Linked DNA regions of Lepisosteus oculatus. The protein of the gene in region 1 purifies or fractionates together with the protein of each later gene. This does not show direct contact. Links are inferred from orthologs where the notes say so. Each region holds a gene or a part of one and is shown in the gene's direction. Other genes may lie near its edges.

Region 1 (12,603 bases):
TCAGCCAAAAGAGGTGTTTACAAGGAATAACAACCCCCATTGAAAAAAATGTGTTAAGGAATGTTTATAGAAAATTTGGGCATAAGCAGCCCATCTGGCTAAGGGCCAGTCACTTGGCTAGAGGACAAGGAAGTGTGGACCCCCTGTGCAGAATAAAATTAACCAAGCAATAGCAGCAAAGATAAAGACAGAGTGCAAGAGGAAAGCAGAAAGGAGAATACTGGGAAGAGAGGGGCTTGCTATGGTATTCATAGCTTTCCAGGAAGTGACAGTACGGAGGATTATGAGTAAGAGCAGCAAAGAACATGGTTGCTGTCACCCCTTCCCAACCTTCGCTGAAAACTCCAGAAGCAAACAAAACAAAACACCGTAATAAATATGCAGCCGCATCACGAGACTGAATAGAAATGACGACTTCTTTCAGCACTGCAATCCTGAGGTAGCCAAAGCCACAGTAAACAGTGGACCATCTTTTCTGGGATCAAGTCCCAAATACTGTCAGGAGAGACAGAAATACAAAGTGAGTGTGGCTTCCACCCCAACAACCGTGACTTCGAGGAGGTGATGAGGAATTAGTTTACCCCCTCGGAGAGCTGGCAGCTTCGGGAAACCGGCATCGCTTCTCTCCCTGCATACTGGTTCACCAGATTCTCTCTGAAAACATGCAAATGAAAATGAAAAGAGTTAAGAAGACCTTATCTGAAAACACCATAGCTACCCAGTGATTGTGGGAACTCTTTAATCGAGTTCAACCTGAGGAACCTTGAAGACAGCCGAATTTAATCAGCATATTCTTTTGGTTACAAGGAACTCAGTTGTTAGTTAAGGAACACATTTAAATGTTAACCATTATCTTGTGTGATTTTGTATTAAAAGTGGCATGTATCTTGCCTGGCTATGAGCTATAACTGTCTCCAAATAAAAGGCTGGAGAAATATTAAATGCTCTTCCCAATGCGAATTCCAAGTCTGCCTGGATCAGTTCCGTCGTTTTGAGTAACTTCTGTTACTCATTCTCCTGAGTGTGTTTTGTTTCTTGAAACTGGAATTCACACATCCGCAGGAACTCCTGGGAGTGACAGGTAATACATTACTGAAGCAGGTGGCGCAATACCCATGTTCCACTCTGTGTATGAACAGAGTTGCAGAACATTTAAGATGATATTTTAAAACTAGTTCTTAATCTCATCTGTCCCCTTCAGAACAAGGGCCTTTCTTCATGTCTCCTTTTTAAAATGAAGGAAAAGAAAAGAAAGACAGTGGCACTTCTTTTGACTTGGTAAATAAAGGATGCATTTTTTGAGTTCCTATTAACCTGAAAGTTTGAAAGAACTTGCATCACAGTTCAGGAACTCTGTTATTGATTTTTCCTATTAATTTACTTAGTATGAATGACCACAACAACAAGGAATTGCAGAACATTGTATAAAGTATCAAAACCATATGTGTATCATATATGGAAAATACAAAACATTACATAAAAAGTATGTTTCTATCCCTATTTTCATTACAGTCATATTTTCTTTACACACTCTATACAGTATGTGGAAAACAATAGCTATAAACGTTTTGCATTTGTTTTGCAAGATAACTGAACAATTATTTAATCCATCTAGTGACAAATGTTTTGCATTGTGTGTCCGTCTAAATCAAGATACTGGATTATTTGTCGCTGCAGGATGGAACACATTGATCTTTGTTTAATAGTGAAAAGCACCGAAAAACTGAGGTGACTTTGGAACTCAGGGTAAGCCTGAATAAACCCTCCATTGCAGGTCTGACACCATCCGGGAAACCAACATTTGCAGCAAAAGGAGAAAGAATACAGCTGTACAAACATTTGATAGTAAGTATTATAGACCTTTGACACCGAAGTTAAGTCATGTTGCTGAAGAATATGCAATTTGTAATGTTTTGCTGAACTATATTGTAAGTTAATAAAAACAACTAGCAGAATGCACAGATGTTGAAAAAGTCAGTTATAAAACAAAATAATAAACTTCAGCTGTGATTTGTAAGAAGTTAGGCCAGACAAAATATGTAAAGTTAGGGTAGTGGATTGCTTACAATCCCCAAAGGAAAGTGTGGAAAAGCAGAGAAATAAGCAGAGCAAAGTGTGGATCTTAAAATGCAAATATATGTTATGACAGCTAGGAGCTTGACACAAGATGCTAAATTATTGTCTAAACCTTTATGCCATTGAATTACTTCTGTTTAAAGTTTATCTAACACAACGCTGGCTTTTTAGATTGCTATGCACAAGTAACCATTTTAGTATAAAAACTGTTGATTTTCTGTGACTTTGTGTATAACTCTTTGGCATATGAGAAATATTAACCTTTCTGCATAGGAAGCTGTCCTGAAAAGGGGACTGTGCATAATAAAAAAATACAAGTTCAGCAAGGATCTGCCAATAGATTGTTGGTCAGACCAACACACAGTATTACAGGAAATGTGACCTTCTGCCTACACATTGACTCCAAGCACTGTGAACTGAATTCTTTAAAGAGAAGGTGAGGTTGACGGTAATTGACTAGATATGGGCAGATGATATACTGTACATTCTGAAGACAATGAGGGTTACATTGTTTTTCCAGTACATACAGCACATGTCCTAGTGTTCAACTGATTGCAAGATGAAAATACTAAGAGTACCAAGACATGGTATACCCAGGATGTGCTGTACTGGGCTAAGGTACTTCTGAGGGCATTTACACAACAATCACAGCTTTTTTCTAACACACCCTGTGAAAGATTGTATAAAAAGAAAGAACTGCTCTGCCTGCATCCTACTTTTGTCACTCATGTTTAGCAAGAGCAGGCGGAACATTCATCTTATCTTTGACAGTGAAAGAAGTCTGATAAAGGACAAGGGATTAGCCAGAGAGTACAAGAGGCTATTAAGAAAATGTGGGTTCACAAGTTGAAGGTCAGTGAAATGAAATATGATGTGCAGGACTCATTAAGCACTGCAGCGATAATAAAAGACTGGTTATTATGTAACTACTCCAGAAATGGCTGAAGTTTCACTCACTTGAAGGCTATTGTTGTCACATTAATAACTGGGTATTTGGTGACATGTTTGTGGTTTAGATCATAACAAAATCCTTTATTTAATGTAGATTGAGCAATTAAAAGTGTTTGCTGCTCTCACAAAAGAGACCATAAAATTCTAAAACATGATGGTTCTTACAAGTGAATATTATTTTTACATTTTACTCTTCACCGAGTTTACTGTAATATACAGCAATTTTAGTTATTTCAGTGATTTTTAGTGATACAACATGCAGAATAAAATATGGACTGTCTTATTAAAAACATGAAAATATATACTGTCTTATTGTTAAAATAAACACCAAAATAAGCCCAAATAAACACCACAGACCTGAAAGATAAATTTTGCTTTCAAAAACAGAAAAATATTTTCTTTTACAACTTCAGAGTATTTGAAAACAGAGCAGAGGTTAATAGGCCAGTAAAATAATTTTACTATCTTGGTGCATTTATGTGACATTAGTACTTCAGTAAAGTGACAGTTCACTGGAAAAACAAAGGTTTATGTGGAAGTGGAAGTTTCCATATTAACGTTTATTATCTTTTATGGCAATCCTAGAAATAAAATCTCTAGCCTCAAATGTTTTTATTTTTTAAAATTGAACTTCCAAAGCTAAATTGTAATTTGCATATTATTTATATTCTTTTAAGAAAGGAATACCTCTTGATGTCAAGATTAAATCAATTGTCCTGATAACTTTGTCTTTGGAATTTAAATTATTTTATCCTATTTTACATGCTGAATTTGTTAGTTAAATATTTCTTCAGGCTCTTGCATAACACATTAAATGTATAAACGTGCAAAGCAGTGAAATTTGTGACAAAGAAAAATGCTTAATGATTTACAGTTATCTGACATATCATTTTCTTTTCTTAGATGAGTCTCGAATTGAACGACATCTCAGAAAACATTAAGCAAAGATTGTTTGTGTACAGTGGGGGCAAACAACTGATATTTTTGTAAGCAATTTATTGTTCCTACAGTATTTCCAACAGCACATTGAATCAGCGGATTTCCACAGTCAGTTCAGTGTTGGATAATTACTGCTTTGCACTTACTTTCTCACATCTAAAATGTCTCATTGCTATAGGATGTCCCCTGTGCTATCTGCAATAAACACTGAATTCAGGCTCTACATCCGAGTGAGAAGCTTTTAACCAAACAAATGTTTGTACCATAACAATCTTGTACTGTGGACTGTTATGAAATTTAATTACCCTAAACCAATCAATTAACAAGTCCCCTGTGGTACAGTATCCTTATCCTGTAACTCAAACCAAATTATTGTAATGCACTACATCTACGAATAGAAAATTGCATTACTGTAAGCTCAATTCAACTCCCAACCTCTCTTAAAAAAGTGAATTTGAACTCTTTTGGTTGGGAAAGATACATTAAGATTTGACAAACTTGTTTTCAAGGATGTCCTGGAGTCGCACAAAAAGAACAAAGTAATATAATTTCTTTGAATTATATTAAACATAGTGAAACATCAGCACCCAATACCGATCTGAAAATCTCACCTAAGCAAAAAATACAAATCTTTTTTTCCAGTTCTGCAAGATTACTGCAAGGATGAGACTTGCTGTGTCTTCCTATTTAAGAAGGTTTTATGTGTGAGTGTGCAACTATTTTGGGTGCTGATCTCTCACACTGCGCACTGCTATTTCAATGTTTCAGAATCCATAACAGGTTTCAGGAAATGGACTGGGTATCCACAACCCCCTTTGAGAAGGCAGATGATCATGACCTTGATGTGTGGAAAACATGCGGGCTGCCTAGATTCTGAACTGAAGCTCATCCCGATAAAACCAGGAATTCCTCTGTGCTTGCCCCTGGATCTGTTACTGAAAGATCCTTTCTTGTATTTTTAAATGAAGATGCATCCTAATTTCAAAACAAGTACACTGCTTTTTCATTCCTCAAAATATCATGTGTGTGTTGGGGGAAGGGCATATACTAAAGGGATTATTTAACAGTTAATAAAAAAATAAAACACTTCAGTTTAACTGCCCCCATAACACTCATTGTGACATTTTATGAACTTTATACTTAACAACTGTCACATAACTTGTACACTTAATTGCATTTAGAATTGATTTTTTATTGTGATAGTCTGAAATCAGATTTTTAAAGCAACATAATCCCTACAAGTCTGCCAGAATTCACAATCACAGAACAGCAAAAACTACCCAGCTCTGAGGTCATGTATATTTCAAGTCAGGGTGGTGATTGAGTGCATTGTTTGAAATAATGGAAGTAGTGTATGTATGTTAAGCATCTAGGCTTGCCACAACCAGTTGAATGTCATTTGCTGTTTCTGTTGTCCCAGACATGCCAATCTAGATTCTGAATTTGACTCGGATTGAGAATGGTTGGAAAACTCTATCCTAGGAATTCATTTTCACAGAGCCTAGTGTCTGTCTGAACAGTTGACAGATTAAATCATAGTGCTAGATCCGCAGTTCTCTATTTTTGTGCTCATGTAGTGAGTGCATTACATTCGAAAGTATATTTTCTAACATCCATCCAGCCTACACTTTCAAACCACTGCTTCCAGTACAGGATCACGGGGAGCAGGAGCCTGTCCTGGCATGCATCGGGCGTAAGGCAGCATACTGTACACCCCGGACAAGATGCCGTTCCATCGCAGAGCACACACAGACACACACAGTCACACCAGGGCCAGTTTTTCAAGAAGCCAATTAACCTACTATCATGTCCTTCAGCTGTGGGAGGAAACATACAAACTCATCAAAGGTAGTAACCGAGATCTGGAATTTAGCTCAGGGCCCTAGTGCTGTGATACAGCAATGCTAACCACTGTGCCACCATGTGTTTTCTTACATATTTAGGAGAATTGTTTTGTGTTTTTGTGCTGTTTTACTGTTATTTGCTTGATCTTTTGTTTTGGTCTCATTTTTGAAAGGGTAGAACCATTTGACCTTTCCTTTTGAAAATACAACTAAACCTTACTGCCTGACAGGGAAGATCAGGAAAGACCGAAAGAGCCTGAATTTACAGCATTACAAGTATGACCTGAAGAAAATGCATTATGATCATACTGTAGGTAATAAATGGACAAAGATAGATTTTCCTGTAAGTTCTTCAGTTAACTGTTTAATGTTCGTTTTGTTTAAAGGAGTGTAATATTCTGCAGAAACCCAAGGAACAAAATAGCATTATGATCCACCTGCAGGAGAAGAAGAAAGAGGGAACGTAATAAAATAATAATAATAATAATAATAATAGCCTCCCATCAGTAATTGAAATTAAATTATTATAATAGCAGTGAGTTAAAGTGGGCATCGCAGAAGGGTAAGGGAAAGCTAAATTTATATCTGAAGGGTCTGTATCCTCTTCAGACCCACGTGAAGTGTTTGTCTAATGGTTCTTACTAAGGCAGTTGATTACAACATTATTTTAATAGAAAAGAAGGAAAGAAGCAATGATAATCAGAAGCCAACAACAGAGCTAGAAAGGAACATGACCTATTCAACTACTTTAAGAAGATTATAAACAGTTCTGTAAAAAAATCTTACATTCAGGCTCAAGGATTGGCAGTAATGACTGTTTTAAGAATACAATCCCACAGATTTAAAGGAACAGAAATGTATTTTCTTTAATGAGTGCAGCGGAGTGAGTCATCTTGAGTCCCGTGCTTTTCCACCTGTGTTTTGTAATTGACTGCATATACAGTATATGTGCTAACAGAGTACTGAACAAAATTAATGAGCAGTTTATTTGTTTTTTATCGCTGTCTCATTATATAGAAATAGCTGTCTTTACTGTATATCTACAGCACTTTATATATAGCTTTCTCTATTTTTACTGAAACATTCAAATTCAGGGGAGGACAGGAATGCTCTACTTTGGTAGGCTGGATCTTTATGGTCTTAGATGGAAAAGACTACGAAGGGACCTGATTCAAGTACTCCAAATCCAAAGGTTTCAACAAGCTCAGCCTCATGGATCTGGCAGAATCAGCAAAGAGTCAGAAATCGAAATACACAACGTGAACTACTGTACGCGGAAGTGCATTTAAAACTGAGAACAGGGGGCACTTTATGCAAAGGGTAGTGCCTTCTTTTAAGATGTGGGTGGGTGAGATCCTTGCATCAATTTAGCTGCTAAAGAGCAAATGAGCTAGATGGGCTGAATGCTCGTTTGTGAACTTTCTTGTGTTCTGGATAAAAGTTACAATGGAGATGGCCCAGCTTCAGCCTATGAAATACATTGCAAACAGGAGGTAGCCATGAAATGGTTACTATATGCAGTCTACCAGAACCAATTGCAAACCTCGTTGTCTTACCCAGCCAATTGAAGAAGGTTTAAATACAACATTAAGGACCAGGTGAAAACCTGACTATACAGTTAATCTTGAGATCCCAGTAGCTGGGGCAGAAGGGTTGGAACAGGAACCCCTCTATCGGCCCGCAGCCCCCACTGACGTTTGTTCTCTGAGACGCAGGGTTCCAGAAGTGACAGCAGGGCTTTCTTCCAGCTCCCTGTTCCCACAGCACCCATTTGTCTGCAAGCCCCTGATTTGCAGCTGAAGGAGATCAGCTCATGAGCTCAACGTTCACAATTGCAGAGGCGCAGCAAAAGAGAGGCAGAGCAAAAAGAGGAGAGAGGGAGGGAGGAAGGCTGTGAGAGGTGTTGACACTCCTCTGCAATGGGGCTGGAGCTGGAGCTTGCAAGCCAAACCATACACAGAGCAGTCTCCTCCCCTTCTCCCATTCTATATTAATTCCCTGTGGAACTACTACAGGAACAGCTGTACATGATACTCAGAGCGCAACATCACAAACTCCAGATATCCCTGGCTCAGTCTCTGCTGCATCGTACCTTTTCTGCAGTGGACTATCATTCTGGAATACTTATTCTTCTTCAGCACAAAGGGATTATTAAGATGCAAACATGATTCAGAAGCTATCTGAGAATTTTCATGATGGTAAGTGCCAGAAGATTTTAATCTGTCCTGCTGAAGTACAGGTCTGTAGTTGCTGAAGTGACTTTTAATGCAGTGATTTCTCTTTTCTCTTCCTCTGTTAACATCAAATCTAGATATATTTAAAATGTGCTGAGAGATGGCAATTATTCTTTGATTGTCAAGTAAGCTATGAAAATATTTTCATCTTAAAAATTAACAGACCTATTTATATTTCTTCTTTACTGCGGTTTAAATTGTAACACAACAATTTCCTCATATATATTTAAATATTCATACATTTCCTTTGAAATTTGCTCTTCATAAAAGTATGGTAAAAGTTTTGATTTTGATATAGGGTTTAAAAATGCTTAAAATGTTTATCAGATTAAAGTTTTTTTTTTGCGTTGCAGATACATTGTTTTAATTTATTGTAGTAAGTTTTCATTTCATGTATTGTATTTCCCAAACCCAGATTGCATGTTTAATAAAGGGAATAACAGGGAATTCATAAAGCATTAGCACACTGCTCTGAAAGGCAGTGGGCTCAGTATAACAACTCATATGCAAAGCATTAACCTCCAGGGTTTTTTTCAATGAAACATAGCCTTTTCATAGAAACCTCTACATGCAGCTAAAGAAAACTTCAGCTTGCACAGCTATGGACTAAACATAAGCTTCATGTGATGAAATGTATTTAAAATCTACATAAATTTTAAGTTGTGCATAATTTATTTTCTTTTAATAAACATTTGCTGTTAATTTGTGACATATTTAGAAAACAGGAAAACTTTTTTTCACCATGTTCTCACTTTATGGAGCTCTCTCACCACTGTAGTATGTGGGACATTCCAATAGGGTTTAATGTTTTGGTTACTTAGTCTTTGCAGGGTTCACATGAGTCCACTGAGATTAAATAGCCTGGCAGGTATAATTCTGGACTCCTTCAAAAAGGCTGTGTAAGCAATCAGGATAGATCTGCCTTTTGTTTTGCATAAGAAACTGGAATTTATGTAGCAGCTCTCATCCCAAGGAAGCACTTTCTAGTGCAGAATTATATCTATCAGAAAAAGGAATATAAATTAATAAAACAAGCTAAGGTTTTAGAAGAATGTTTCTATTTGAGATCTCTATCACTCTGTTTTGCAAAAGAGCAAAGGAGTGAACATTCCATTTTATTGGTGAAAATGTTAACGCCTTAACATTTTCTCTTCTAAAACTGATGTGATCTGCACTTTGGAATATACTGTACAGTGGGCTTCAAATAACCTAGCCCATTAAGTTTTCACTGTATCACTTGTTCACTGGTTTGAATGGACAGTGGCTGTTTTTAGAAGGCATTCGCACCATTATAGAACACTGATGGGAAACAAAATCACAAATGTGATAATAGTGAAACATTAAATAAACAAGGTGCATTGCTTGACTAAAAAGTTTTGAAGGGTTATTTTCATATTTTAATTGAGGACACAGGGGGAATTCTCCTGTCCAACCTTCTGTGCACAAAAGAAAGAATGTACTGTGTACTGATGGAACACATTGGTGCTAAAGGCTAAAGGTTTTTTTTATGATGAGGGGAGGAGAGTATTTTAATTATTTTACCTGTTGTGAATAATGAACTTGATTCAGATAGGGAAACATTATGCAAGGTTTTATAGATAAAAACAATCTCACAGCTGTTAATGATCAGCATGTAGCCTATACGAATACTTGTTGTGCTACTTGTTGTGCTAGTAAATTCTATTTTATGAGAAAAAAACAATGTTTAATATTTTAGAATAGGAATATATGAAAGATAAACTTCTAATATAATTTGAAGTCTATTGTACATTCTAGGTGGTATTGACAGCCAAGAAGAAAAAGTAAAAAATCATAGCAACAGGGTGATTAAAATGCAATATAATAACCTTGTCTGATCCCACACAAACTCCAGGTGACCTATTTAGAAAATATCACTGTAGAGTTATACAAACTATGGTGTTTTAGGAACAGCTCTGCCAGGAAACTAATGCACAGAACTCTTTCAAGGCAAAATAGTAATCAACTAAAAAATCCTGCATATTCCACATGCAATCAGATCTAACATTCTGGACTTAATTCACCTTTTCTCTGAATTATTTAAACAAAGTATTGGACCCTGCAGTTGCCAATGTGTAATTAAATCCTGAAAGAGAATCGAGGATTGTTTCACTGGTCCTGCTGTCATGCTCTTCTCAGACAATGTTTGTTTCAGCCAGCTCTTATGCAATTATCTTGATGCCCCTAAATTGTGTTAACAGTGGACAATTCAGAGGTATACTGTACAGTATATGATAATTACGTTTTAAATTCACTGTGAGATAAAAACATGGATTAGAATTTCATGAATTAACCATGTATAATGTTTTTTTTTAAGAAAGTAACATATAATGGTAATTAAAATGTATAATTTTGCACAATCGTTAAAGGTCTTCATATTACATTTGTCCAATACATGGCTGATTATATTGAGGAAAGTAAACTTCCAATTATAAACCTGGAGCACCTGGACCACTTAGCTCATTACACGTGCAGGCCAGGGGTTTTACCGAAATACTCACACTCACTAAAGATATAATATTTGTTATGTCCTGCACGAGAGACCGAAGCACCACATTTTCTGTCATTTCCTTGGGTAAACTTTTGAATAGTTCAAATGTGCTTGAAAGCGCAGCTGGCAGCTTTCTGCCAACCCGGACATCTGATATGAACAAAGCATTGAGAAGGCCTAAAATGTTAATGAGCTTTGCAGGACACACTATCTACTTCGCGAAGTCAACGTGTTATTAGATACAATGAACTGCTTATGGACAGCCGGTTCTGGAACATTAACTTCAGCAGCAGCAGTACTACGTTCAAATAATAAATTGGGTAAGGTGTTCAAGAAAATAGAGAAATATATTTTGTATTTTTAAATAGTATTTCAAGTTTAGCAGTGACAACACCTAAAAAGAAGACAGAAAACGATATGTACAGAGTGACAGAATCACAGCAGCCCACTTTCCGAACTATCCAGACAAAAGAGGCTAGAAAACGCGGTGAACTTCTCGGCGTCAGTAGGGAGGGTCATTCTGCTCAGTGGTAACGCAATGCTTTCGGGTGACCTCAAGTTCCTTCAAGTCAAGTTCATTTTTAAAGACATCGTACAAAGCTTGGAGTCTGATTTTATTTTAATTAATTTAAGCAACTGCGTACTTGCGGACAATGTGTCCCGCTGAATGTTTTATAGTTCCGTTATGCCGCCAAGAGTGAGCTGATACTAAAAAAAGCGAAATTCAGCAGGGCACTTAAATTCAAGCCTCAGGTCACATGTTAATAAACATGTCGGGTAAATTTAGTCAATAGTCTGCGCAGTAACCGTTCTGGATATGTCTAGGGGCATATTTCCCACTTATCCATGAAGACGATTTACAGTTCGATACGGTTGCCACTGTATAGAAAAAAAAAGCAAACGCACTTAAAACGTTGTTTTTGGTATTAATATTCTTATGATAAAAAAACAATTCGAATACAATTTATTCAAGGTATTTGCATCCTCTGTGATGTTAAACGGTGAACAGAAGGATTTTTGACCATTAAAACCCCCTATAGCTGGACCACCTCTACAGCAGAAAACCTTATTCTCCTCTTGTCGCATAAACCTCCACCACACCTCCTCCACGGGTATGGCCACAGTTCTGTGCCGCATTCTCCAGCACATGGTTTCTCACATGGCCCGGACCGTGCTGATGCACTGCGAAGCTACAGCTCACACATTCATGCAAAGCTAGAGTCCCTGCTGCTCATTCATCAACTGGGAGATGAGCTCTGAATTCAGATGCTTTCTCGCTCCTGAGGTTACATCATCATTTCCTTTCGGATTCAACAAGTTTGTTCTGGCTGCTAAACGGAGAATCAGTATCATTTAAAAATAGCTGTAGTGCTAAAAGGTTTTTTAGACTGAAAGGAATATAAAACTATTCTTTGATTTTACATCTGCCACTGCACAGATGGGCGTTATTGTGAAACTGACACAAACATTGGCAATAAATACAGCATATCTACATGACACATGTAGGAGTATCTTTCAATGAGATACTAATCTGAAATGCTAATCTGAACGAGTTACTTTGTCCTCTAACTGTATATATACTTATTGCTGCAAAAACCCAATCCCGTAGGATTTAAGAATGAAGGAGCTGTTCACATCCAAACCATATCAAGGACATCTAGGGTGGTTCGCTGTGACAAGCATTAAAACAACGCACCAGAAATAAACAGTGAACCTGTATGTTTTTTTTTATTTCTTTAACAGAACCGAAGAACACACCACATTAAAACATCCTTTTTTAACTATGTGTATTTCAGCGGCTCTTTCAGCACCGAACTTCTCTGTAAAAAAACAAGGTAGCCGCTATTCTGTTTAAATGGGAATGCAGAGGATTACAGTTCGAAAGGCTGGCCGAATCACGTATATCTAGTAGTTGGTTTCTTGTATTCAATTACTGCTACTTTAAGTAGGTGACTGGGTTTTCCGAGAAATTGGAAAAAGGGATTTGACGAAACGCTACCATTCTCCTTCAATATTTACATTCAATTATTACTCGTTAGACATTGATTGT
Region 2 (12,273 bases), on another chromosome or scaffold:
TTTATTTTTAGGAAAGAAAAAATAAATGCTGAATCTTCCAATGTGCGGTAAACTTTCACACATTTATTTTTCTCCTGTCTCTAATTACGGAACTCTTCTCACAGGACAGCAGTTAATGGTTTGTATAAACAATGGAAATCTGAAAGGGGATTTGACAGTCTACTGCACAGTCCTCACCACTAACTGACAGACTGACAATCTTTACCGTGGGGAAAAAAAGACTTGGCTGGGTGGGGATGGAAAAGTGACCTCACAACTCCAGGGTTTTCTGAGCTGACCCTCCCTGCTTAGGACACTACCTTAGCGAGGAGATTGTCCAGCGAAGAGGCCACCATTCCTTTACGCCTGCCCCGGTCATGTGTGCAGACCCTAAAGGGCCGCGGCTGTACCTCCGGGCTGAAGAGAACGCGCCTGCTGATCGACGAGCCCACCGAAGACACAGTCCTGCAATTTCAGAATTAAAAAAAAACAGGCCCCAGAAGTTCCTTGAGTCTTGGACTTTCAGCACTTGTACAAGAATAATTCTTTTAGGGATCTTTAAGTTGGTTTGATGCTGTGGTCCTGCTAATCCTGGTCTCCTTCTCGGCAATGTGGAATTTCCATTTCACCCATCAAAACCGTATTGCTGGAAAACATACACCCTTCCTATAGCAATGGACACGAGCTAGACTCTCCAGAAACCCCTCTTCCCCTCTCCCCACACCAACAAAATGATATATTGGCCACCCCCCACAAAGGAAAGCATGGTACAGTCCGAGTCAACAACTCCTGCTAGGTTTGTCTAGCTTTTTTTTTTTCTGAAAATAAAAAATGAACTTTGAAGGTTGCAAAACCAGTAACATTTAAACTGCCTATGCAGACAATTTTTACAATTTAACCATTTTTCTCATTGTTCTAATTCTATTTGTTTTCCTGTTGTTCCCGAGTTATTTTCTGAGGAAATAAAAATTCAACTGTAATGTGTTTTATGGATAAGGACCTCTGTGGGACAAATAGTGGCAGAAACTAAAACAAGCTTCCACTCTATATACAGTATACAATAGTATATTTTACAATAAATACGCAAGGAAAATCAAGGCACCTATGCTACTCCTTTGCAATATGAAATTCAAAACACTCACTGAATCATTTTAATTTCACCCTTAATTGAATTAACAAGATGCATGACTAGAGCATTTGCTAAAAAAATACTCTTGGAATTGTAAGTTACCTCTAAAACACAATAGTTAAAAGACAACCTCCGACATGTTTAAGAGATAAAGACAATCACATAATTGACTTAATCATGGGATTAATTTCAGCTAAGGTTTTAATGGTGTAACAGACTTGGAGCTGGACCAAAAGCCAGCAGATGTGTGGGCTTAGCAAAGCAGGCTTGGGACCCCTACTCTACAAAAAATTACAGAATGTTGTGAAAATGGATAGTAATGTTTAATTTGAAGCGCCCTGCCAATTTCTGTATCGCACTTAAATGTGCTTGGTTACCTGGGCGTGGTGCATAACAAGACAACCACAATCACAAAGCCCAGCTTGTAAAAGGATCTCTCAGCATGGCTAAAAGATAGGTGGGAAAAGGGATGGAACTAGTTTAGGGTTGGCGCAAAACCTATGCTTCTGATGCATATGAGCAAATACAGTAAATATAACAAGCCCTCAAGAAAGACATCACCAAGGTTGAAGTGTATGATAATAAACACAGGCGAACAGCCTCTATTCTCCATGATAAATCTAGTCTGTTCTTTAAATTATGTTCTTGCTCATTCTGCAGCCCTAGAGGTGGATTTAATGCTAATTTTACATCTCTGACTTAACATGGGAGCTAAAGTAAGGTTTTACAACAGACAAGGGTAGGGCTGTAGCTAACTAATAGGTTTAGCTGTAGTTAATAGGTTTGAAACCAAGATGAAGTTTTTGGATGAACTAAGGTCATCCTAAATTTAACTGGTTTTAGTGAACTTCGTATGAGCATGCAAACATCTTACCAGTTTTCATCATTTGGAGCTTTATATTGAATACGTGTACGTGCAGCTTCCTGTTAGCCATCGCATTCCTGTATTAAAGACCTCTAGGAGTGTCATGTGCACAAGATGGAAACCGTACAACGTCACTACCAGTTTCTGTACATGTAGCACAAATGCAAACAGAGCAAAAATTACTAATGAAAAGTCGTGGCTTTATTTGCATGTGGACAAAAAAGTCCCATAGCATGTTTTTTTACCTGTGATTATCACTTTAATCAAATTCATTATCATATTTAATCAAAAACGGAACGTTCACATGGTAAATGAAAAGAATGTCACCAATAATTGCAATTTCAAAGACCAAACCTCAAAATAAACCCTGAGTCTGGTGTGGGAATCCACTTTACATAATACTCAGATTAGAGTTCTGTGTTACTAGTTATTGATCTGTCAAGAGCGCCAGCATTGTTTATGACTTAGCCTAGCCCTTTATGCACACGAATATAAGGCTCGTCTTCCTTGGGGGACACTTTTCGGGGTCTCACAACACAGCGTGAACAGACGAGATGGGTATGGGGAGTAACTTTCCATGATAAACACTGTGAATAATGTGTTTCATTTATGACTAACAAATGTAAAAACAGTACAAGTGCATGAAGAAACATTCAAAGTAAACAATTAGATCCGGCTGCACAACTATTAAACACTGTAAACAAATATTAAGTATCCAAGTGCGTTATATTTATACAAATCAGCCAGAGGTCCTAAAGATAATTTAGTTAATTGTATTGTCTTGATAAAGCCGGCTACAGAGAAGGAGCCTTGATCAATTAAATTAAATGGAATGCGGTGTGTTCTCGACATTTTTTTTAATCAGCAGCGTTAAATATAGGGTCTTAAGTAAAAGATACGGAAGATTTTCGTGTAAATATGAAATCCTCCAGTCTTATTTTTTTAGATTAAAAATGTTAGAATGTTGCCTGATTCGCCGAAACATTGAAATCATTTCAAAACTATGGTATTGATGTTTTTTTTCTTTCGCCGACATGTTTCGGGTATTATTATTTAATAATGTGTGAAATGTTACGTAGGTGCATTAAATGCATTTCTTTTAACAACAGAGGTATTGACGCAACAAATTTGTGCTGCATAAAATGGCACCATTCTGAACAAAAAAATACTCGCCTTATGAGAGTCCGCGGCGACAAAGCGCTGGCGTATTCCTTAGCGTACTCCATGGCTCGCCGGTCCGAGCAAGTGGTCAGTGCGGTCACTACAGTAACCTTTCTCCGCTCAGCAAGAGGTCAGATCTTCTCCACTCACAGACAGTGTCACTTGGTTACTTGATAAACAGATGCCACAGTCGCACAATATATTTTCGGGGGTATTGGGGGGGATGCTTTTGTGTTTTGATGCCATTACGGTCATCTGATTGGTTCTTACCTGCAGAAGGCTATGACGAGGAAAGGAGGGGAAGGGGGACGTTTTCTTGTATTATTTTTCTTTTTTTGGAACTGGGAATCCAAGGCACATAAGCGATTGCCTACCAGTTATCTACATACCTGTTTGTGTCCTCCAGTCTATCTCCGATTTTACGCACATTCGATTTTAAAACTGAGTGCTGTTGCCTGTTCTGCCAAATGAATATGCAACCCGATAAGTCAATACTAAGGTACAGTACATCCCCTTTTCTGAGATTGAGGGAAAAAAACTTGAAATACATACTGATTTTAATGGCATACGAATTCTATTTAGCGCTATAACGCTATATTTCTGTACAGATGAGCTGTTAGTAGTGTTATAGTAAAATAAAACTTTAAGAGATTTTGAGTAACTGATACTGAATGGCTTCTAAATGGAAAAACTGAACTTGTCAAGTGTCCCAGTCATTTCGAGTGTTTTGATCCTTCTGAAGTGGGCGAGATGATCTAATCAAATTGCTTTATACATTTTTATAAGTGTATGTGTTGTAAAGTCTCTACCTCCTGTAATGTCTTCTTAAATTACTCTTAAAATGGCTACCAGAACGAATGTTTGAAAGTGAACAGGTCTTTGAAAACCCCTGTAGCACATGAGCTTAGTGATGACTACTTGAACCTTGTGGCAAAATAGATTTAGTAATTTTTCAGTATTGGATAAATTTATAACCAAGAAATGCATATGCTGCTCTCCATTATATTGTAAAATACTGGATTAAGAAACAGCTGCTTTGCATTATATTGTACATTATAATGTATATTGCATAAAACAGTGTGCATTGTATTGAACAACATTAGGCTAAGAAACAATAAAATATAAATTTGAGCCTGTGTATGACAGTCAAGTCTCCACAGTCTTTAAGTCTTTAAAGTATTTTGCTGTCTGAAACAGGTGCCGCAGAACATCTGAGCATTTCATTTTGAAATGGACACTGCCTTCCACCATAGATATACGTTTCTGAAGCACTTTTCTAGCTTTTTGATTTCTGTTGGAAGCACTAGAATAATCTCAAGGTCACAGTTACGACAATAAAGTTAACAAGAGCACGTGCTGCTTTGTTTTGTTGTCCCCAGCATTAATTTATCTGTGGTGTTAGAGGAAATATGTGAAGTCCTGGTATCCATGGAAATGAAGCAGTGATACTTGAGATTCAACGATGTAATGGCCTAGTGCATGCTGGTTATCTTGATGTAACTAATTAAAACATCCTGTGATGGACTGACATTCCTTCCAGGGTGTATCCTGCCTTGTAATCATTGTCTGCCAGACTGGGCTCTGAGACAGTGCAACCCAGTATTGGATAAGAGATCACTTTGTCAGCCATATACAATTTCTTGCATTAGGAATTCATCTTTTTTTTCTTATACCCCAGCTTGCTCTCCATGAGACACACAGACAGGGAGAGAAGCTTGGAGTCAGAGCACAAGGGCAGCCATTGTACAGCACCCCTGGAGCAGTTGGGGTTAAGGGCCTTGCTCAGGAGCCCAACAGAGTAGGATTCCTCTGCCAGCCACGGGATTTGAACCTGCAGCCTTCCAGCCACAGGCACAGATACTTATGTACAGAGCCACTGCTCCACCCATTATGCAGTTTATTAGAAATGCATGGATGATAGAAATTAGATGAAAACAGCAGCAGCAATTTAATCATGCTGCAAACAGTCTAAATGTGCATATATAACTGTCAGTTACATATTATTTGACCTTTACATTTATGAGGATTATATGCCACAAGAAATAACTCAGAGAAAAGCGAAACACAATAGCATTTTTTAAGAATTCCTGAGTTTACACAGGACTTATGCTCGGTGACTTAATGTATACTTCAGATGTAGTTTTGTAGGAATCTAGTGTGTGAGTTACTTCCATGTAAGAGGCTTATGTATTGTTAGCTTCCTTAATTCTACTTATTTGTGAGTAAATCTTGTGCTGCTGTTTTTTTCCCCCACTGTCAGCAAAGAGGTTATGCAACTTTCTTGGCAACAACAAAACAGGTTGGAGCAGTGCCAAAATCCACCCTACTTTGCAAAATTAGCATACCTGTCCATCTGGTACAGAAGACAGGATGGTATTGAAAACGTAATTTGATTCATTTCAAGCTTTATTGTCCCCTGAGGGAAGTTTGTACTTTGGCAGAGTCCAACAGAACAATACAACAAAAACAAGACATCACCAACAAAGAGTTCAGGACAACAGTGTTTCAGAAGATAAGAGAGTTACTTTACATTGTTTGAGAACATGATTGCTTAAGGGATGAACTATTTCTAGTGCTTTTTGTTGTTACTCCTATGGGCACCAAGGTGTCTCCCAGATGGGAGTAGTGTAAATTCACAGTGGAGGGGATGTGGCACACGCTCCAAAATGGGCATTTACATTGATTTGATTTGCCCTAATGAATTTAGTACTAATCTTCACGAATATTTTTCCAAACCTGTTTTTAACCACCTATTTCAATTTGCAGTACTGATGTTGCCACACAAAAAGGTAAGACAGTATGTTAAAACACTTTCAATAAATGATTTGTAGAAAAGCATTAAAATAGGAATTACAGTGACAGTAAGTACCAATCTGTCAATTGCAATCAATGGTTGAGAAGAAAGATAACATTAAAGTGAAATATCTTTACAATAGTTTTCATTTTGTATAGCATTGTTCAACTCAAAGGTCCCAAATCACTTTACATGCAGATGAGGACACCTGGGTAACATGTGGCAGCCACCAGTCTCACTACAGAGCAGTCAAGGTAGAGAAGTGACAAATGGCTTCATCAATAGAGTTAAGGGGAAACATTAGGTAGGCCAGATTTTACAAGTCAAGAGTGGTATTTAACAAGGTCACCAGGGTTAAAATCCCTACTCTTTTGGAATAGTGCCTTGCGATCTTTAATGAGCAGCAGTTTTCTTTATTGTCTCAGTTTAGTTTGCTGTTTAGTTTTAAATGGGTCTCCATCTTAAACCTCCTTCACACATTAATTTCATGTAAGGCTACTGGAGAATATTATGTGGAGACCAACAGGAATTTATTTTTAACCTGCTGCTCCTTCTGATTTGAATAAGTGATCACCAAACATGCAATTTTATTACAACTGCTGCTATCTAGATTCTTGAATTGAAAAGCTACTAGTAACCAAATGGGGAAAATAACCAAATAGAAACATTTGTATGTTCTTAGGGATGTGGAAACCTATGAGGAAAACAAGATTTGTAATTAACAACAGGCCTACTTGCCTTAGCCATTGCATGTCTGTGTCTGGTTTAATGGGCCTTTTATTGTAGAACCTTAAAGTGATTTAAAAACAAATGATCCAATGTCTCAAATGTATTTTTGTTTTTCTTTTATATTATAGTTTATTTATATTAAAGTAATAAATAAACTTCTAGCTCTTGGTTTGCTGTCAGACAAAAAGAACACATCTGATTCTTTGTACCTCATAGAGACTTTTCTTGTTTTTATTTGTGTTGAGGCATGGCTGATGTTTTGCATTAAAATTGGTGTAAATAGACAGAACCACACAGGTGTAACAAGAAGATTGCAAACAAGAAGGATTGGAAACATGAAGGGCCATTTTTCTTCATAATAGTGTAATGTTCGCTTTGAATAAAACATTGTCATATTGTGCCAGCTAAGGTGAAAGACAATGAAAAAATTAATGCAGAGACATAACACTTACAAGAGACACTCAAACATTTGTAATATTGAAGAACAGGTGTTGATTGGTGTTCAGGGACTCCAACATCTGCATGTAGAATACTAATCCTGAATACTAGAATACTAACCATGAGCTCCTAACTTCAACATGAAGTTGTGAATGCTTATAATGTGCAGATGCTAACCACGCTTAGTCACAAGGTGTAGACTGTATTTGCACTGTAAAAAGGACTACGTGCTCCGACCAGCAGAGGGAGCCACTAAATTGAGCTTTGACTTGTACGAAATGAAGGGAGGGGTTGAACAGAAAGGGGGTAAGACTCTGGGTTGTTAGATTGCCGGTGAACTTTATCCCACTGACCTCGACAATAGTATGGCTGCAGCCGTGTCTCTGCTTTATAGCTGGCGTTTCATGAAATCTGCGAGGTGAGTTTAAAGAGTGAATTATAATTGTGGAATATTTGTCCAGCCGCGGTTTGTGTAGGTTTTGGAGGTTTATTTGCTGGTTTTGCTGTAATGTTAGCAGCTGCAATGAAGGTTGACATGCTGCACGGGTTGATTGTACGAGATCCAAGTTTGCTTGGTTATGTTTTTATTACAACATTTCTAAAGCAAGCAAATCGTTAGTTTTCTGTTTGTTTGACTCATTAACTAGTAACGTTTTCAGAGACCGCGATGGCTTTCTTATGTCAAACATAGTATCAGTCTCGAAGACATAGCTTTTGAAAAGTAAACAATCTCTTCTATGATTGTTTTCGCTTTTCAAAAAGGAAAAATCTGGAGGAGTTCAAAGACGTGTACATATATTTCCTTGTCTGGAAACGGTGATTTACTCGAATTAGTAGATTTGTCAGGCTTTGAAATGTCAGCTGAAGTTACCGATTCAATCATAATGCTATGGAGACTGGGGACTAAATGTGGAAATTAAGAGTGAGAAATTTAGGCACACCTAAGAGGAACAAGGTTGTGTATCTGTTGAACTACCATCCGGCCACCCCTGTTAAAGCTGATTCTTTTAGATCGTCTAAGAAACAACTAAAATGATTCTTCCTACAACATATGTAGGCCTGAGAGGACTGGTGAAATAAAGGTGAGGTTTATGTTTGTAACAGCCTGTAGGGTCTACACTGTTGAAACTCCCTATTATTCCACATGCATTTCAAATATATTTTTTATTTTTTAACAGCCATGATTGGTTTGCCAACACAGTGCAGTGTACTGCATCTCTATAAATATTTATTAGAATATTCAAAATGTTTTAAATACTTTCTAAATACTGTCTTTCTTTTCTTCCTCAGACTGTTTCAGTCCTTTCGCTTACCAGCACTTCAGCTTCATACAACTGGGGCCTTAATGGGGGCAACTGTCGAGGACTTTAATCACGCCAAGGACAAGCTCAGCAAACTGAAAAAGGACCCTGGCAATGAAGTCAAATTGAAAATATATGCACTTTTTAAACAGGTGATACTCGCACCTCATAGTGGTGTTTTTAAAGGGCTTGTCATTTGTAGCAGGAGGGAGCACACTAGCAGCAGACCAAGACTGACTGAAAACCACTCACATAGGGCAGAGCTGGATCAGGCTTGTGAGTATTGTTTTCCATACTCGAGTCCAGGTGTCTGAGCAGAGTGAAGCTACAGTACCAGTGGGGCTCGCCTGTCCTCTGTTTGGCACTTGAGCCAACAAAAACACAACTTGGACAATGTTCTGTAACGATTCGGGGTTCACGTGGGCTCCCTCGCTGTTGCCGCATCAGGTTGGCCCCCCACCGTCGGGGACTCGAACCCGGGCCTCCGGCGTCACTCAACAGGGACCCAGCCCGTTGAGCTAAAGAGAGATCTCTCCCCAGCCCAGCGGCTGTGGGCCCTGCTATCACAGGGAAGGGCGGTGATGTCACCGCTCTGGTAAGCCGGCTCTTACACACTCACTGGTGGCCGTATGCGTTACAGTACCATGCTTCCATTCAAACTCATTACACATCTGCACTACACACTTTTTGCATGGTCTACCATTTTTTTTCTCACTACTACATATTTATTGTCCCACAACATACTTATTGTTCCTGTTGTTATTAATTAGGTACTGTCTGCATCGTGTGGTGTTGTCTGTTGTACCGTGTGTCCCAAGAGATCAGCACGGTTAAGAATTCCAATGTGTGTGTACATATGGCAATAAATTGCTCTACTACTACTCTGCTTAATACATTTTCATATTTATCATAATTGGTGCATATATTATGGAAAATAAGTAACACATGTACTTATTTCTGGATTAAAGGCTAATATGTTTTTCTCTTTTTTTGTTGCTTTGCAAGAATATCATTCTTCGTTCAAAGTCTAAATCTACACTAGTGCAACACATGAATTTCCAATACTTGTGGTTTTCCTTTGTATTGCACATACTGTAGACGTATATTTACTGACTTTACTTTCGATAGAACTAATGTCTTTGTGGATAATTTTGATATTATTCCATTTCCATATATAACACAAGAATGGGGTCATCTAGATCCATTACAGAATTGTAGATGCTTGGATTGGCATCACCACGGCTTTCTGTTTCAGTACAGCACAAAAAGAACTGCACAAGTAGTGCGACTCTACTACCGAGGTTTCACTCTCTAAAGTGGATATTCTGAGTAGCTGAACTAGTAAAGATCTATGCTTACCATGCATTTGGGTCCCATAATCTAGAAGTCAGGTTTGTATTTGAGCCATGTCATTAGTCCTGTCACACTGATCGCCATCTGAGTGGGCCTTGTAGATGGTCAGGAGTTCATTATCCTGCTGTGCAGCGAGAACTCTTGTGGGTTTCTACACGCCTAAGGCCTTGTTGGGTTGGGTCACCTGAGTCAGGTCTTGTTTTGATGCCTTAATCTTCTGTTGTAGCACTGCTTGCTCTTCTCAGTTGTTTTAAATGGAAAAAGACATGCTATCTCTTTGAGAGCCGAATGGCTAAATGATTGTGTTGCTTGTTCTATATGTCTAGGCCATGCAGGGTCCCTGCAATATTCCAAAGCCAAGCATGCTGGACTTCGTCAACAAGGCCAAGTGGGATGCCTGGAAGTCTCTTGACAGTCTATCACCGGTGAGTACCAAACTATTATCATTTACTGTTCTTTAGGCTTTATAAATAATCAGATTTCTTTTTCATATTGCAAGAATGAGAGAAATATAAGAAGGGGGCAAAAAGGAAGCACTAGATTCTGCAGAAGATGTGGGTGAGGGGACATCTAGAGAAATGAAGACTACTTTTCCTCCTGCTTTGTCTTGCATTTCTTCACATGCGGGATGCAGGGTCTCTGTACTCCAAACAGTTTTGTAGATCCTGTAGGCATATAAAAAGTCTTCATCAAAACACACAGACTTGGTTAAATCAAGTTTTTCAATAACGTAACATTCGTTTGCTGTAAACGTGCCACATGAGGGCCTTACTTTTTAAAACAATTAAAGAAATTTCTGTGAGTTGCAAATCATAAGCTGTGGTTTGAGTACATAATATAAGAATGTTCAAAATCATGCAGTGTAAATCAGGATTCAGAACAGCCATGGCACTACCACGTATCCAGAGGCTATATATATACAATCACTCCAGTCTTATTCCAGACATTATTTCTGGTCCCTTACAGAGGAGAAGGGAATTACTTTAGCATATGCAGTCAGACAGATAAACCGAGGGAAACCATCATTCTATAGACTTGCTATATACTGTGCTGCACCTGAGTCAAGTAAGTTTATCCTCCTACTAAAAAATTTGCTGCCCTCCCTATTTTTCCCCCTTAATTTATTTAATGAAATTATTTCTCAATGTGGATGTGTGTTGCCCTTCTGTTGTGGATAAACTGAATCCCCACCTATATGTGCAGTGGGGTCCTCTAAAATGAAAGGCACTATGCAAATTCAAGTTGTTATTAATATTTTGATACTTCATGACTCACTTTAAATGCAGCGTCTAAGTTTCCTGATTTAAACACTTTTGCAGGATCTAACTGTTGCATTGATCCTGGGTGGAACAGCGGAGCCAGAATCCTGACATATTACAATGCGTTGCTGGCAGTGTTTCTTCTTGTGGTTTCCGATTTAACTGGGAACTGTATTACACAATATTTTCAGTTCTTTGATTACCAAGCGAAGCTGGACTGGTATTATTTTTACTGTTCAGTAAAGACCGTGAAAATGAACTAGCTGTTTAACCCTTGCTGGTACTAGGAGGAGGCCAGGCAGAAGTACGTAGACCTTGTAGAGTCCCTGGTGGCTGCAGAAACACCGGCGCAGCCAAAAACGTCATCCACGGGGGGCCAGGCTACGTTTGAGACACTGCTTGTGACCACGGAGGACAACATCACCACCATTGTCATGAACAGACCAGAGAAGAAGAACGCCATTACTGTCTTGGTAAGGCAGAGTTGAACAGGAAAACCAGATGTGGTTAATGTTAAGTTAATACCAAGGTTATGGGGGCCACAGAGGGTCTTAAGCTGAGAACATTGCGACTCGTACCGTTTGACAGTCCTACACAGGTAAATCTCCCCTCATGTATAGTGGTAATGTAGAAGCAAGCTGCCCCCCCCCGCCCAATAAATAGCAACTTAACAAACTTTTCTACTTTGGAGAACAGGGAGACGTGGGGCACATGAGAAACATACACCTTACACACTGACGTACAGCACCTTATACACACTTAGAGCTGCTGCAAGCATTTAGGTAAGAAATATGACTGAAGAGGACATTTTTCAGGCATTTAAACTTTATTATACTGTCCATATTATAAATATGATAGTAATATACTTTTCATTTGATAAGCAGAGAGATATTGAGAAGTTGTAAAAGCTACAAGTCCAGCCTTCAAAGTTTTGTCCATGTTCCCCATTACTGAAATCAGACTTGCAGGCTTATCATAGCAAATACAGGTGACATATGATCTTGGATCTCATGCGTAGTATATTTTCATCCAAGCCTGATATTCATATTAAATCAAAGAGCGTTCATGTATTGAATATGTGTGGTTTTCAAAACACAGAGATATTTTATTAAACTTTATAAAGCATATGTTCTAAAACATTTTTGGGTACGTTGGACCTACAGAAGGTAATTTTTTATCATATATTTCTATTATTGGGGTGGCTTGTATAGCTATTATTCTGTTTGTAATTGAATTAGTCTGTTTATAACAAGGTACATTTAAAT

The links.
Region 2: the proteins of mapk6 (region 1) and eci2 purify together in Homo sapiens (affinity purification with mass spectrometry; 3 studies listed by BioGRID and IntAct, with this or other methods). This does not show direct contact. The link is inferred for Lepisosteus oculatus from reciprocal best matches to the Homo sapiens genes MAPK6 and ECI2.

Annotation. Positions count from the first base shown.
Region 1 is NC_090700.1:44,643,927-44,656,529, forward strand, and holds the start of mapk6 (mitogen-activated protein kinase 6), read left to right. Parts: upstream 1-7,762; 5' UTR 7,763-8,008; intron 8,009-12,603. UniProt on the Homo sapiens protein: Atypical MAPK protein. Phosphorylates microtubule-associated protein 2 (MAP2) and MAPKAPK5.
Region 2 is NC_090701.1:15,726,198-15,738,470, reverse strand, and holds the start of eci2 (enoyl-CoA delta isomerase 2), read left to right. Parts: upstream 1-7,405; 5' UTR 7,406-7,460; coding exon 7,461-7,513; intron 7,514-8,385; coding exon 8,386-8,548; intron 8,549-10,075; coding exon 10,076-10,174; intron 10,175-11,295; coding exon 11,296-11,481; intron 11,482-12,273. Other genes in the region: lipid transferase CIDEA, read right to left, coding at 300-444, 3,147-3,199. UniProt on the Homo sapiens protein: Able to isomerize both 3-cis and 3-trans double bonds into the 2-trans form in a range of enoyl-CoA species. Has a preference for 3-trans substrates.